2 linked regions of the Arabidopsis thaliana genome follow. The protein of the gene in region 1 binds, or shares a complex with, the protein of each later gene. Each region holds a gene or a part of one and is shown on either strand. Other genes may lie near its edges. A codon is read from its position in the direction of its gene.

Evidence for each region.
Region 2: the proteins of AL2 (region 1) and DRIP1 are in contact, whole or in part, in a crystal structure (PDB 5Y53), measured with the Arabidopsis thaliana proteins. Residues at the interface, in NP_187729.1 of Arabidopsis thaliana: Pro64 (codon at 5,160), Ala65 (codon at 5,163), Glu66 (codon at 5,166), Glu67 (codon at 5,169), Val68 (codon at 5,172), Pro69 (codon at 5,175), Pro70 (codon at 5,178), Glu71 (codon at 5,181), Glu74 (codon at 5,190), Leu77 (codon at 5,199); in NP_172162.3 of Arabidopsis thaliana: Thr279 (codon at 5,701), Gln280 (codon at 5,704), Arg281 (codon at 5,707), Lys282 (codon at 5,710), Arg283 (codon at 5,713).

The regions. Positions count from the first base shown.
Region 1 is NC_003074.8:3,507,325-3,515,204, reverse strand, and holds AL2 (alfin-like 2), read left to right. Parts: upstream 1-4,546; 5' UTR 4,547-4,786; coding exon 4,787-4,886; exon of another isoform or gene 4,887-4,987; coding exon 4,988-5,020; coding exon of another isoform or gene 5,021-5,103; coding exon 5,104-5,326; intron 5,327-6,354; coding exon 6,355-6,478; intron 6,479-6,557; coding exon 6,558-6,818; 3' UTR 6,819-7,209; downstream 7,210-7,880. Other genes in the region: ELO1 (Paxneb protein-like protein), read left to right, coding at 1-92, 353-431, 598-757, 838-929, 1,214-1,375; AT3G11210 (SGNH hydrolase-type esterase superfamily protein), read left to right, coding at 2,306-2,416, 2,656-2,733, 3,185-3,325, 3,429-3,505, 3,597-3,746, 3,891-4,104.
Region 2 is NC_003070.9:2,077,255-2,085,704, reverse strand, and holds DRIP1 (DREB2A-interacting protein 1), read left to right. Parts: upstream 1-3,607; 5' UTR 3,608-3,997; coding exon 3,998-4,103; exon of another isoform or gene 4,104-4,498; coding exon 4,499-4,598; intron 4,599-4,910; coding exon 4,911-5,235; intron 5,236-5,397; coding exon 5,398-5,828; intron 5,829-5,937; coding exon 5,938-5,988; intron 5,989-6,120; coding exon 6,121-6,193; coding exon of another isoform or gene 6,194-6,303; coding exon 6,304-6,483; 3' UTR 6,484-6,809; downstream 6,810-8,450. Other genes in the region: GAUT6 (galacturonosyltransferase 6), read right to left, coding at 123-480, 626-897, 1,148-1,218, 1,306-1,387, 1,478-1,519, 1,680-1,714, 1,866-2,016; AT1G06760 (winged-helix DNA-binding transcription factor family protein), read left to right, coding at 8,089-8,289, 8,395-8,450. UniProt on the Arabidopsis thaliana protein: E3 ubiquitin-protein ligase that acts as a negative regulator of the response to water stress. Mediates ubiquitination and subsequent proteasomal degradation of the drought-induced transcriptional activator DREB2A. Functionally redundant with DRIP2.

The sequences.
Region 1 (7,880 bases):
GGACGGCCCATAGATTGTGTCAGTCTGTTAGACTCTTCAGATCTTTCCATTGCTCAGGACCACTGTGCTACGTTTTTATCAAAATTTCCAAGGTTGTGTGGCATCCTTTCTTATTTGATCTCAATTACTCGCTCTAGTTTCGAATCAATAAATTTTGTTGGTCATACCTATGCAGCAAATTCTGCTCAAGCTCAATTCTTTTTACATCTCTCTTATACTTCCAAGCTCAGTTTGTTTATATTGTTTTAGTTTGTTACTGAGTCAGTTATTGTTCAAATTCTTCTCTTATTTACTGGCTTTGTTAAGTAGATTGTCCTTTTTTTCTTAAGAACCTGTGTATTGTTTCCCACAGAAACAGCAGTAACATTGCATCTATTGGCCGCATCGCAATCCAGTCTTTTTGCTCTCCCCTGTGTGAGTATTCTGAAAAGGTAATTAGGAGAGTTTTCTGGAACTTTTAGCCTATATCAAGTCAACAATGCTTTCTAACGAAAATTCTCTTGACTCTATAGTTAATGATAGCTGAAGCTTGTACCAGTATCACGTCGTTATGTATTATATTGTTGATTTTTTGACATTTTGTTTCTATCAACACAGGAATCAGACATGCTCTCATTCATAAGATTGCTGAAAAGTATGCTTATGGTTTCAAATGCGGTAGCCATTGTTACTTTCCCGCCTTCCCTGCTCTCCCCATCTTCCTCTAAAAGACTGCAGCATATGGCAGATACCTTGCTCTCTATCAAAGCAATCCCAGGTTTGCTTTCCCTGATTTTCTTATTCATAAATAGATTATCATAGTTGTTTCTTGACAAGTATCCTTGCCTTTTTTTCCAGATGGTGACAAGGAATTGGAGAAACTCCTCACTGGCTACAAGGATATAAATGGATTCCTCAACATACACAAGGTTGCTCGTATCAACACACAGGTATTTACAAATTGTGTAATTCTCAATTTATATAGGGATATTATTACCCTGAAACCTGTAAGCAAGAACCCCTTTGTATTTTGCCAAGTCAAAAAAACATATTCAATGGATAAAAGTCTGATGAAATTCAAAATGTCTACTGAACAACTTATCCAGAAATCCCCATCTAATCCATTTTTCTCTCTTTTGATGAGAATGACATGAACTTGCTTAGAAACCGTTGAAAAAATGGATTCACTATGGTCCTAAACCACTGGTTTGATCTGAATTGTTTAATGGAACAGGTGCCTGTAATTCTTGAGGCAAAAACCTTCTCAATGAGCTTGAAGAAGAGAAGATTCTTGGCTCTAGAGTGTCTGAATCAAGCCCCTGTAGACGGGTCCAGTGGAACATCGTATGGCACATCTGGTAGCTGCTCATCCAAATCCGGAGCACTAGATTTTTGAGTTGCTGAGTTAGTCTTTCTTTTCTTCTTCTTAGTTTTTTTTTTTCCCTCTCCATTGAGTTCTCTAAGTTCACTCACTAACCTGAGCAGTTACATTATTATTATAGTCTTTGGTCTTAAAAACAGTTTTGACAGCAATATGTTTTGTTTTTATAATGAAATTTATTTCATTTCTGTATTATATATACTCTTATGAAACTATGACCAATGATAGATGCTAGTTACTAAACGTTCAATGTAATCACTTCAACATGTTCACGTGGTTATTTGTTGAACCATCCATATATATAACATATAAAGAAAGAAGGTGAGACATTGAATGAAGAGTTCAAAAATATGGTTGATCTATATTTGGTGCTCCTTTAATTCAGTGTTCCTTTACTTACCAACCAACGACCATATCATTTGAATTATTGCTCATAAATCTCTCTCTCTACCCAATCTCTTTATTTAGTACCCTATTCTTCTTGACTTTGTTTCTTTCCAAAGCTTATACAAGAGATATTCATTCTTAAACTAAGATTTTCATATATATTGAAAAAGAAAGAAAAGATTTCTCATCATTTTACTTTTTGGTAGAGAGCATTTCAAGTAAAAAATACTTTGAGAAACAAAAAGAGAAAACTAGTATGAGAAACAAATCCTTAAAAAAGGAAATAACAGTAATGCACGTGATGATATAACAAAAGGTTTTGTTTTGTTTGTTTTTTTATTGTTTTTTTCTTCTTTTATTTGTCTGTTATAATAATCAAAAAACAAGAAGAAAAAACGAGACGTTCATGCATTTAATCTCGCACCTTACGACAAAGAGTGAGAGAGAGGATCGCTCAGGTTTGTTCATCTTCACCGGACGATTAGCTTTTGCGGTGGGAGAAAGAACGGCCTGTCTTCAGCTCTGAAACAGAGGAACAGAGAGGTTAGGAAGGAGACAATGGTTGGACCCGCGCGGCCTCAGATCGTTTTGTTTGGATCTTCCATTGTTCAGATGAGCTTTGGCCATGGTGGTTGGGGCGCCATTCTTTCCGAGGTCTACGCTCGTAAGGTATCGTCAGATTCATCAATCTCTCTCTCTCTGTGGCTTCTGGATTCGATATTCATCCTTGGTTAGATTACTAGAGCGTTGATTCTACAAGTAGATCGCTTATTCTAATTACTCTGTATTATTTATTATTTTCCCTAACTATACATTTGTTCATTGAAATTCGTCTTTTGTTTTACGATTGTAAGCGTGTATTATGCGAACCATAATGTTATTTCTCCATTTGGATGTTATGTGTATAGGCCGACATCATTCTGCGAGGATATTATGGATGGAACTCTTCTCGTGCTTTGGAAGTTGTCGACCAAGTGTTCCCCAAGGTACTCTTTCAACTCCCTTTTTTTTTGCTTCTTCTCTCTTTAGACTATTAGTTTCTTCAATACTAGATTATGATAAAGATTCAGCGTTTTATAGGTCTTTATATTAGTCCGTATAGGTTGATGTGTGCTTATCATTTGACCTAGTAAGAATTCTTTGTGAACATTATTTTACTAGTTCAAAATGTACCCCAAAAGGATTACACAAGTGGCTATTTTAGTTGCATAGTCTTTGATTTAGCATACAAGACTCTGCATCTGTTTCAAGGGAGATGTCTCTGTTTAAGCATAATCTGTTTCATCCGAGTTTTCTTGATATCTCAAGCTGTTTTCTCTTACCCATTATAAAAAAAATTTGGTAGAATGAGCTTAACTTTGTAGAAAACCATCATATTCAAAGCTTCTGTTTTCTTCCACTTTGTCGCCTAAAAATTGCAACTTGTTACGGATGCAGGATGCTGCAGTACAACCTTCTCTGGTCATTGTCTATTTTGGAGGAAACGACTCAATGGCGCCTCACTCGTCTGGACTAGGACCTCATGTACCACTTACTGAATATGTTGATAACATGAAGAAGATCGCTCTTCATCTTCAGGTTTATACTTCCTTTATAATTGTTAGATTTATTATTTATCTCCTGTCAGTCACGTTTAAAAGCCATTTCAAGTGCTAATTTCTTCCTCTATTTTCTGTTTCAGAGCCTTTCAGACTTCACCCGAATCATATTTCTTAGTTCTCCTCCAGTGGATGAGGCTAAAGTTCGCCAGAACCAAAGGTAACTTCCCTGAATTTCTTCACTATCTCTCTGTTTCTCCTTATTCTCTCCGGCCTTATTAATATAGATGTGCTTCTTTTTCTCTCACAAGCCCATACTTGAGCGAGGTAATCCGCACAAACGACCTCTGCAAGACTTATTCAGATGCTTGTGTAGAGCTGTGCCAAGAACTCGGCCTAGAAGTAGTTGATCTCTTCTCTACTTTTCAGAAAGCAGATGACTGGAAAACTGTTTGCTTCACGTAAGTATTTTTTGAGTTCTGAAGAAATATAGAGAGACCTTTGATATATATGACTTTCTCAGAGTTTCCAAATGCGATAACCGGGAATGGAGTATCGACGATGTTCATTGAAATGTTTTAACGGTATAGTCTGGTTTGTTACAGAGACGGGATTCATTTGTCAGCACAAGGAAGCAAAATAGTAGCGGGAGAGATACTAAGAGTGGTTAAAGAAGCGGAATGGCATCCATCACTTCACTGGAAATCAATGCCAACAGAATTCGCAGATGACTCTCCTTATGATCTTGTATCAGCAGATGGCAAACAGACAGTAAATTCTTCAGAATGGACTTATTTCTGGGAAGAACAATGGGACTAAACATTTCAACACACACAACAACAACAACAAGACCCTATCTTCACATAATTCACTGTCTTAATGTGATAAAGCTTTGCTTTAGATTGTTTACATTACAAGTGTCTCTGCTATAATCTGATTCAGTTTCGCTCGAAAAACGTTACCATTTTAAAGTTTATACTTATCTAAATCTTAAATCACAGAAACACACCAAGTTTGTGTTCAAGTAATTTCTTTTTTTCTTGTTTACATTTTACAGACATTAACAAATGTCTGAAACTCATCACATAACACTCCTCCAGACAGGGGTTTAGTGTTTTGAAGGTAAAATCACAAAGTAACTAAATTTGGGCCGATAACAAAAAAGTCGCTTAGGAGATTGGACTTATTTGGGCCTAAAACCTAACACTTAAGGGCCCAACTAAAATGCCATTTACCTAAAAAGCGACGCATCTTCGTCTACTACCAAACCTTTTCGCTGACGCAACCAAACTCCCAAAAATAAAAATAAAGTTTTTATTTTCTCTCTCTCTCTTATTTTTCTTCTCCTTCTTGTTCCGTCTGCTTCTCTCCATCTCCTTCCATATCTATTGTTCTCTCTCTCTTCATGCCCGAACGCATCGGGTCTCAAAAACCATTGATACAGACATCGATCCTTGTCAACTAGTACTGATCTATAAATCTTATAAAAATCTGTAGAGATATGGCCGCCGCAGCCGTTTCCTCTAACCCTCGCACCGTTGAAGAGATCTTCAAAGATTATTCCGCTCGTCGTGCCGCTCTTCTTCGTGCTCTCACTAAAGGTCTAAATCCTCTCTCTCTCTCTTTCTCTAAATTTCCCAGATTTCTTCGTAATGCCTTTGGATTCGTCCTTTAACTTGTTCGTTTTTGTGATTTTTTCCAGATGTTGATGATTTTTACTCTCAATGCGATCCGGGTATGAAAGATTTCGACTTTTAGATACCCTTTTATGTGTTTTATTGAGATTTGATTTCAATTTTTGGGTGTTTGTGGTTATAGAAAAGGAGAATTTGTGTTTGTACGGACACCCTAATGAGTCATGGGAAGTGAATCTACCAGCAGAGGAAGTGCCTCCGGAGCTACCTGAGCCTGCTCTTGGTATCAATTTCGCTAGAGATGGTATGCAGAGGAAAGATTGGCTTTCTCTTGTTGCTGTTCACAGTGATTGTTGGTTGCTCTCTGTTTCTTTCTACTTTGGAGCCCGTCTTAATCGCAATGAGAGGTATTTCTCTTTTTCCCAACATTTTGATTCTGCATTCTCATTGTTTTGTGTTTTCTTAAGCCATGTCTCCAACTTTTACTTGATTTCAATGGATTCTGTGTTGTTCTTACATGAAACCCCATAGTTGTTTTCCATCCTGGCTCTTCTCATGTGAAGTAAAAATTGAAACTTTGTGATGATGATGGAGTTCGTTTGGAATGAGATTGTCTTTGAATTTGCGTGAAATGAGTTTTGTTTTGTTTTGTTTTTTTCGCTATTCGTCATTCATATCTATGGAGTATTGTTTGTTGCATGACTTCATCTGTCTAAACTTTTTCTCAGCTCTTTTGGATATTGTAATGGCTAAACTTGAAACTTGATTATCCTCCCTAATTTTAAAAGCCTGGTATTTGCTATTCTATGAAATCTGAAAACGGATATTCTGTGGTCGCATGTGCTGAATTTCACCATTTCATTGTTACATCTGAACACCCATCTTAGTAACTATGGAATCCAAAGAACTTTACTGACAAAGGTTTTGTGAAAGTTAAATTTTGACAAAAAAAATTGCTATTTGATTAGTACTAATGAGATCATTTTACTGTCTGTCTGTCATATATTCTAGAAAACAATGTTATTTTGGTTATTATCTGTTTCATTGTTCTTCAAGAGAGAAGTAGTTGTTGGCATTTAGATAGGTTTCAATTAAAGGTGCAAGAAACTGGACTTTGTTTTCTCAACCAGTAGTTTCACTATACCATTAACAAGTCTCTAAAGTGATCCTCTACCATTTTAGTCCTCTATCTTATTTACACTAGACTAGTAAAAAGCATTTCGTAAGATGCATTTCCAAGGATAGAGAATTTAACCCGACAGAGCTGCAAACAAATAATGCTAGATAAAACATCACAATTGTGTGTTGTACTGATATGAAGATTCTGGTTCGTTTTTCCTCACTTTCGCTTGCTAATCTAGTTCTTAGCTTATCTTAGCTGCCTTTTTCAATGTGTTGTCCACTCATGGAGTTATATTATTCTTTTGATTTGCAGGAAGCGGTTATTCAGTCTGATCAACGATCTCCCAACTCTCTTCGATGTAGTGACTGGTAGGAAAGCCATGAAAGACAACAAGCCAAGCTCGGACTCAGGAAGCAAATCCAGAAATGGCACTAAGGTACACAAAATAAGGAGCCTCCTTTCTTCTTTTTTGTTATCTGGTTTCCCTCTTTGAAATCAAAAATCGTAATTAGCAGAGATCAATAGACGGGCAGACAAAGAGCTCAACACCGAAACTAATGGAAGAGAGCTATGAGGAGGAGGAAGAAGAAGACGAGCATGGAGACACTCTCTGTGGAAGCTGTGGAGGTCATTACACAAATGAGGAGTTCTGGATTTGCTGTGATGTTTGTGAACGTTGGTACCATGGAAAATGCGTCAAGATAACTCCGGCTAAAGCAGAGAGCATCAAGCAGTATAAATGCCCGCCTTGCTGTGCAAAGAAAGGAAGACAGTGATGCTGATCAATTGATGATGATGATGATGATGATCTCTCAGAGAGACTCTGGTTCTCATGTTTTAATCAATATGTTAATCAACTTTTTTTCTTTTCTTCTCTTTTTTTCTTTAACCTTCTTAATTTTAAAGCATACAAAACTCTCTCTTTAGATCTCAAGAAAGGGATTTCAAGAAGTTGAGGGAGAGAGTAGCAAACTGTTTGAATAATATTATTATTATTCATATTAAAAAAAAAAAAACTGGGTTGTGTCATCAATTGTGTTGTGTCATGGGGTTTGTATATGTTAGACTTAGTCAAATCTTTAAGCTTCGAACCGAATTTTGAACAAATATGTTTTTAATCTTCTGTTAGGTCTTTTATCTGTCTTAAGATATTGTTTTTCATAATTTTAAAGAATATTATTATCCAATATTATGTGATATGTCAAAGTGATAGTCTTCTCATTTGGCCGGAATTGTAAAGAGCCAACATGTTTTCCAAGTTCTAAAGGGCAAGTAAATGTGATCGCAAGCCTTAGAATTGGTAAGTTTTATAATTAACCATCAAGATTGTCACAAATCATCTCTAAATCCAAATCTAAATTTTTCAATCAAATTTGCGACAATAATCAAATATTTTTATTTTTTAAAAAAAAAAATACTATTTATTTAGCATCATACTCAATAAGAAATTCATGAAATGTTAATAGTTGACAATCGACTGAATTTAACTAAATTTTAAACTCATCGACTGAATATTTATTCGACGATAATGATTTGTAGCCTAGTGTTTTGGTTTGTGCTAATTAATGCATGTTGATGATAATAATAATAACAATGATCAATATTCAAAATCAATACAAATCAATTTATAAATGTGATCATGCATGTATGTAATATCAAGAAGGGCGATCCCAAGTAAAGCCAGCATGAAGATCACAAATTCACAATACAAAAATCTTAGTTTTGGGTATTCAAAGTGATATCCGTCCAATCTTCTTCGTAAACGTTACTTACAAGCTCCCCCAAGTCCCCAACTATATATGATAAAGAACTTAAATCGGATCTAACAAGATTCTGTA
Region 2 (8,450 bases), on another chromosome or scaffold:
AATCAGAAGCCACATTAATAAGTGGCGGAAGTAAATGAGAAGATATAGTGTAAGACACTCTAAAATTAGGTATAACATATAATGATAACCAAGTAGAAATTTGTATAAGAAATGCATGATACCTTTGATGAAGATATCGTAGAGTTAACAACGACTGAAGAAGCCAAAACATTGTCAGAGAAGACAACATAATGATTGAAATTAGCGTCAAAATAATTTTGCTGGTTAGGCATCTGCCTTTTTTCAGGATCCAGTGAAAAGTATTCTGATGTCAGCCGCATTGAGAGACAGTGAAGCCCTTTTGGGGTGGTCCTTGCTGCAAGCTGCATTAGATACGCTGCTTGATTTTTCTGCGCCTGAACTTGTTCTTCTGTGTTATAATTCATGGCACGGAGTTTGGTAGCGATGGCAGGGCAATTGTTAAAGACACGACTAGCCTTATATAACACATTTTCCATGGGCTTCACCCTGCGGAGAGCGCTGAAAGAAACAATCATGTCAGAGGTTACTAAAATAATATTCTTAAACAGCACGACTTTTGGCACTAAAAGGTTGTAGTTGTAACAGCAAATTTCTGAATGCAATTATGGTATGTTCTCCTTTTGAATCAAGCAGTTGTGCTTACCCCTTTGATAAGTCCTTGTCCTTTGTTGCATCACCAACAGACCGTTCCAGCTCTTTCAGCCGACCTCTCAACTCCTTCACAACTTGAGAGTTACTTCCAGGTGGAGCGAAATTCAGGTAGGCTTTAGCTTGAATAATTTTGTCTCTGATCTCCTTCGTTTTCACATCTGTTGCTCTGTCGGGCTGAACCCTTGTGTTCTTTTCACCCTTAGATAAAGGGGGCTTGAAATCCGTTTTATTAGCAAGTTGGTTGACTGTTGGTAGAATTTGACCCTGACACAAAAAAAACCCAATAAATTGTAATCATGAAACATCTAATAATTTGATGGAAAGTGAAACTTGGCTTTTCTATTCCTTAGATAAACTAATCAACATGGACCGCAATGACTTGTAATCTGATTCTAGGATTCAATATCGGAGTTATTCCATACCCTGAGCAATCATCAAGTTCATGTTACTTTATATCAGCTGGACTGATCAAGTTCATGTTATCTTCAAATCAGTTGTATTTATATATACACACCTTTTCATCAGAGCTAACTGTCATCTTCTGTGAAACAATCACTTGTTCTTCCCTGTTTTTGTAAGTATTACCTACAACCCATGATTACGACAGATAAAAAATCTGAGGAGTTAATGACATCAGAGCAAATCAAAGCAAGATTGAAAATATGATCCCACCACCATCACTTTCAGCAGACGAATTAAACTCCCCATCCTTGAAGAGAATGAGCCTTGGCCCCTTCAAGCCTTCTCCATCCTCCTAAATCACAGAGAGAAAAAACTTCAACAAAACGCATGGTCAAAAGGTTTTAAGGAGATGACCTAGAGGAACCTGTAACTTCCAACTTACATGTTCAATAGCGCTAAGTCTAAGGTCATTTGTCGTGAATCTCTGCAGAATAATGGTAGCATGTCAACAACAGTGTATTGCTCGAGAAATATAAAGCATAAAGAGAATGATAAAACAAGACTGAGATCTGAAAACTTGGCACAAAATCAACAGCATGCTGAAAACAGATGAATCCAGAGATTGAAGACTAAGGAACACATACAATTTTGGATAACTCTTCAATAAATTCTCTACGACCTGCAAGAAGACAATCGGCAATGGAAAATCAAAACAAATGTCAGATGAAAAAATCCCAAGACCAAGACAACTTCTAACAAAAGCAAGCGAATTTCATGTGAATCAATCTAAAATCAAAGCAATCAAGCATTTCCACACGATCGTCAAGTACAATGAAATGAAAATAAGAAGGAGAGGAGACGAAACTGACCAACGGGAGTGATGCTCTTAAGCCGATTCGATACGAAAATAAGCGGAGCGAATACAGATATCGATAGCAGAGCGAGGATCAAAATCCTCTGCCATCGACGAATTTGTTTCATGAATCTACAAATAAAAAAAAATCCCCAAATCTATCTTCCTCGATGACTATTCTTATCACATCAAACCCTGAATCGTTCTCCAGGAAGAAGTAGCAAGAGACTCACAAATCTCGGAGATATCCTGCTTGATCAACAAGCAAAAGAACGAAACGTGAAGAACTTAGGGTTTCTGGGATTGCTTTTCTCTAGTGGGAGATTCTATTCCTCGCTTGAATTTCTGGATTTGGGGTCGGAGAGAGGAGTTTTAGATTCAGAGCTTCTTCATGCATCATCGGGGGATTGTGCTCACTTATATATATTTAATTAACAGAAATAATCATTGTTTAATTTGTGTTAGGTCTCTATAAAATTAAATTAATGTTATTGGTCGAACGAATTAATTTGTTTATAACTTTATAGTATATAGTTTTTTGGGTGTTCGTGTTGACATGTCAAATGTTATTAGGGTGAAAGGAAGCAGTGATGCGGATCAGGTGCGGGCAGGTGTACATGTGAAGACATGTGATTATGCCGTTGATGAAGCTGTAAGTAATTTAATGTGATCAGTCTTCTTTGCAAATTTTATCAATCACCAGTCAGACGAAGACACGTGGATAAAGTTTTTCCTCCCTCCTCTTAGAAGACAAGAAAGGAACTTCAGTCTCATATCAATGGATGATTAGCCTATTATTATGAAAAAGATATCTAGCATGTCGGCCAAAAAAAATTATGGCATAAATAGAATTGTAACGAAAAATGACTTTTGCCGATTCTGTTCATTATTTTTCAACAAAAATGTTAACTGGTTAACGAAAAATGTTTAACTAAGTCAAATGGGTGTTAACGTTGACTATGGATGCTTTTTTTTTTTTGAGCCAAGTAAGATTACATTTTGGGTTTTTTCTTTATTTAATGAAGTTGTTGGCAATTTGCTTAATTCGCTATTGGAACGACGGGTCTTTTCATTTATTATGTGTAAAATGGTGGAGGTAGATTATGGAGTACATAACACTCGGTTTAATAAATCATGACAGTATCATATAAAGATACTTAATATGCGCAAAGCTTTGAATGATCAAAATCGCTAGCTAGTGTATCATCAAATTGTTGCCGAAAATCTTAACTTTGACGTCGGTTAAAACACTAATCAGCATAGGACACATAAAACTACATACGTACATATGAAAATTTCTCTGTTTTTCCTAATCACCATTCATCTGTATGCTACTAAAAATCGAGGTGTCAATATTGAAAGTTTGAAACCTTATTAGCCTTCATGCTTCGATTAGCGAATGGGTACATAAGCCTTCTACAGGCCCTTTGGAACAAAACCTCTTATCTGATGTTATCTCGTACCCCATTATACGAATGACGAATCGTTACATTTGGTCGTTGATTCGAATGTTCCATATTCATTGATTAATGTAAACGAAATCCATTATTATAGTTATACAAATCATTTTTACCATCATCTGATTATAATATGAAGAGTTCACCATCATTTACTTTTCAAAATATTAGGATAGCAAATAACAATTTCTCACCCAAAAAGTTGAAAAGAAATTTATGTCGTTCAACTTTTTTTTTTTACAAAACTCTTCTTTCCTAATTAGATTAACCAAAATAAAGAATGTTTGACCTAGTTTTCCTAATTAAAGTAACACAAAGATTTTGACCCAAAAAAAAACGTCTTTGAGCGCTCGTTTTCTTGTCGACGAGAGAGCTCTTAAGACAGAACACAAAGATAAAAAGAGAAACCCTTGTTCCAATAAAATAAAAAGAAGTGACACATCGCGTCTCTTAAATTTTAATAGACGACGACGGCCACTTCTTGTCCGAATCGTACGTCAATTCTTCTTCCATCTCTCTCGCACCATAACATTTATTCTTCAGATCACCAGCGACCGAGCGAAAGAAACGACACTTCTTCGCCGTTTTCGTCCACATGCAGTTTTGGGGATAGCACGTTGTGAGTGATTAAGCCCAACAGATAAAGAGAAAGATGATGATTAAGGTGAAGAAGGAGACGATGAGGGCATGCTTAAGCTGCTCTATCTGCGACAATATCCTCCGTGACGCCACCACTATCTCCGAGTGCCTCCACACATGTCAGTTCCTCTTTTTAACCCACCAAATGTTTCGAAATTCGCTGACATTGGCTTTGATTTCTTCTCAATTTGGATGATTATATTATAGCTCTGTCTTCTTCGTCTCGTCCTATAATCGATACAATTGAAAAGTGGGTCAATGAATAGTTTTTGTTGACCAAAAAGAATATGCAATTTTGACTGCTTCAATCTCTCCTTCTTCGTCTTTCTAGTGATAGTTGATTCAGCATTTTCATGTATAGTTTCCTTGTGGGTTTCAGCTTCTTACTTGTATGCAATTCAATTTGAGTTTTTTCTTATACCAAGTATGAAATTTGCTCACATTTATTATAAGTCATGTTGTTAGTTGCTATCTACTGGAATGGAATAACTTTTTAGATTACTTTCGTACGCAGTTTGTAGGAAATGCATCTATGAGAAGATCACGGAGGATGAGATAGAGACTTGTCCCGTATGCAATATCGACCTCGGTAGCACCCCATTGGAGAAGCTGAGGTAAGCTATTCGTGTTCTGTATTTCAGACTCTACCAGTTCTCATCAAAATATGGTTTAGTTTGGTTAAATTTCTTTGCTCCTTGTTCATCTAATTTGTGGACTCAATCCAATTGCTTTTCTTGTTGGTGAAATGAACTGCTATAACACAATCTCTGGAATCTTGTTCATTTAATACACGTAGCACAATGGTTTTTATGAGAGAGAGACCATTTATAGGATGTTGTAGGAGAATCTAAATAGATCTCTTTTGTACTTTCCTTTTTCTTACTCGTTATTGTACTGATGGGAGCCACTTGTGTGCATGGTTTTAGGCCTGACCACAATTTGCAAGACTTGAGGGCCAAAATCTTTGCTCTAAAACGAAGAAAAGTGAAAGCTCCTGGAATTGTGTCCTTACCAGGAAAGAGGAAGGAGAGATCTATATCTTCTTTGGTTGTGAGCACACCTATGGTGTCAGCACAAGCTGGAACAACGAGAAGAAGAACTAAAGCACCTACAAGAAAAGAGTTACGTAATGGTTCTTTGGCTGAGAGAACTGTGAAGAAGGAAGAATCTTCTGGGGATGAGCTTCTGGAGAGCACAAGCTCACCCGACACTCTTAACAAATTCACTCAGAATAAAAGACAGTCAAAGAAGGTGATCACTGAACTACTCTATTTTCTCGTAATGACTTCATATTTGACATGATTTGGTTACATATTTATTTTTGTTTGGTACACTTCAAAAGTAAATATTCAGTAAAAATATTTGATACTGTTATTGGTCTCACATTCATTTGAGTTATTTTGTTTTTTGCAGTCATGTAAAGAGTCCATCTCCAATAAAGAAAACAAGGATGGTGATGAACCCTGGGATTCCAAAATGGATTGGAAACCTTTGAACTTTCTGGTTGAAGTGGCAAATGGGACAAAGCCCTTGAAGTCTTCTGCTTCTCAAGGGTCAGGTTCAAAATCTGAGCACGCGAATGTATCTCGCAATCAATTTCAAGGGAGTAAAACCAAAACTAAGAATAAAAAGAGAAAATGTAAACGTGAGGATGACAAGAGTAATAATGGTGATCCTACAACATCAGAAACTGTTACTCCTAAAAGAATGCGTACAACTCAACGCAAAAGGTCTGCCACCACTTTAGGCGATTCAAGGAATTTGCCACAACCAGATGAGTCAAGTGCAAAACAGGAGAGGAGAAATGGTCCCGTTTGGTTCTCACTTGTGGCGTCCAATGATCAGTGAGATTTTTGCTCTCATATCTGAAACTATTTCCTTTCATGATCTTTCTCTCTTTCTTCATTTTGTTTCTCTTCTCTTGGTATATTGACAAGGGCTTACTGGTTACAGGGAAGGAGGAACTTCTTTACCTCAAATTCCAGCAAATTTTTTGAGAATAAGGTAGGTTACAGTTTAGGTATTCTTTGTTTTATATATCCTGTGTTGTCGCTGCATCTTACATAGTCCCTCATTTTTCTGTTATGAGGAATTCTTTTGTTGGGGAAGATAATCCAATGTCTCATTCTGTGATAGGGATGGAAATACAACAGTTTCTTTCATCCAAAAGTACCTCATGAGGAAGCTAGATCTCGAGAGTGAAAATGAGGTAAGGGTCTTTATATGCACTATGGCACGAGAAAGGATAGAACGTTTGAATATAATGGAACTTATATGTTTGGTTGATAAAAAATGGACATACTTATGGTTTATGTTCAGATAGAGATAAAGTGTATGGGAGAAGCGGTGATCCCAACGCTGACGCTTTACAATTTAGTGGATCTATGGCTCCAGAAAAGTTCAAACCACCAACGGTTTGCTGCATTGGTAGGTTCTTCTGCAAAGGATTTTACGATGGTTCTTGTCTATGCTCGGAAGCTACCAGAGTGCAACATGTAAAGGACTTTAAAGACTCATGTTGTTGCAGAAGAAGATTCTGTGGAGACAGGGTAATCTTTTCTTTTCGGTTTATGGAATCTCTCAAAGCATTACAAGAGAGAACATTACTAGAACTACAGGAGCAGTCGAATGTGTTGTGAAATTAGTATTAATATTTTTTTCTATAGACGAAATATACACTCATGAGTCGCTTTTCTGTGCAAGAAAATACAAAATTTGTTTCCCTTTTCTTTCTTCTTCTTCTACTATGTGTCCTCTCTGGACTTGCATGTAACATTGTTGTCACTTTCTAATCAAATGTTGTAGTTTAAGATGTTTTAGATTGATTTATATGCATTTATTTGGGTACTACATCATTTCTATGGAAACTAAGGTTTTCAAGAATTACTGTTCAAGTGTTGACTGTGGATGACGAATGTAGTAGAACTGTGATGACCTATATGGAGGTAGAAAACTACCAAATTAACTACATAAAACTTATCTGACAAAAGACGAATGAAGTTCATTATCACTATTTTGTGTTATCGTGAGTACCACTATGTGGTGACAACCATCATGCTTAATATGAGTAACATATTTATATAACAAATTGTTATGATGTTCAAAAAATGTTACGAGTATGCAATTTAACAGATTCTTTTTAATTCATGCTTTACATATAGCCATGATGCTTAACGATATCCAAAAGAAAACAAAAAAAAATCATTGAAGAGATTGCACCTAGACTAGATTGCCTCTCGGATGACCTTGTACATGTGTTGCTCTTAAGAAACGTAATCTATGCATCATAACTAAAGGAAAGTTATACATGTGTTTTAATATCAATTAAAATTGGTTGATTACATACTTAAACTAGTAAATCACAATCTATGAATAATCCGGACTCTTTTTAACATAGACACATGACACATCAACAAGTAGTGTGCAACATATTCTAGAGGATGGTCATCTTAGGTAGTATTCATTCAAATGATTTTGGATCAAAAAGTAATTGAAATCCCACGTTTATTGGTTCGGTTCACTCCTTGATTAGTCAAGTTTCATATTAACATAATTTTCATCGAAATTCTCTTTAGCATTATTCGAAAAACCAAATATACTGTAATACTAGCAAGAAAAACAATAGTTTTGACATATCTTGCTTCATAACCGAATATCTCATTACAAAATAATCCATTTTTCACGTTTAGATAATCAAACGAACCCTCACAGAATTTTCTACACAATGCAAAAAACAAAAACGAATTTCATCGAGTATATCACGAGTTATGGTCAAATGAATCGAGTCTAAAAGCACAACAAATATGACCAAAGCATCTAATCCACATCCACTAACTTACTCATCCCACCATCTACACTCCTTCTTTCTCTGCCGTCGATAAAATTTGATCCAACGATTAATATTCAAACCTGAGAAAAGAGTAGCGATCCGCGTAGTCATTGTTTTAACCAATCAGAAGCCAGATATGAATTGCCGTCTAATACACATCTAACTATATAAATCGGACGTTTCCAATGATCCTCTTCACAATCCTCATAATCACTTTCGAAATTACATTTACGCTTTCTTGCAATCAAATTTTCCGATCTTAAGTTCAGAAGACGATGTCAGAGGTGGAAATAGAGAACGCTGCTACGATCGAAGGAAACACCGCTGCGGATGCGCCGGTGACGGATGCGGCCGTTGAGAAGAAGCCTGCAGCGAAAGGACGAAAGACGAAGAATGTTAAGGAAGTGAAGGAGAAGAAGACTGTTGCTGCCGCTCCGAAGAAGAGAACTGTTTCATCTCATCCTACTTACGAAGAGGTAAAAATGAGATTCGATTTCGTTTATTCGTGTTTCTTATTAAGCCGGATTCTGATTTTGGAATTTAGAAATTGATTTTTGTGTTCTTTGTTGATGCGATTTCAGATGATTAAGGATGCGATTGTTACGTTGAAAGAGAGAACTGGATCTAGCCAATACGC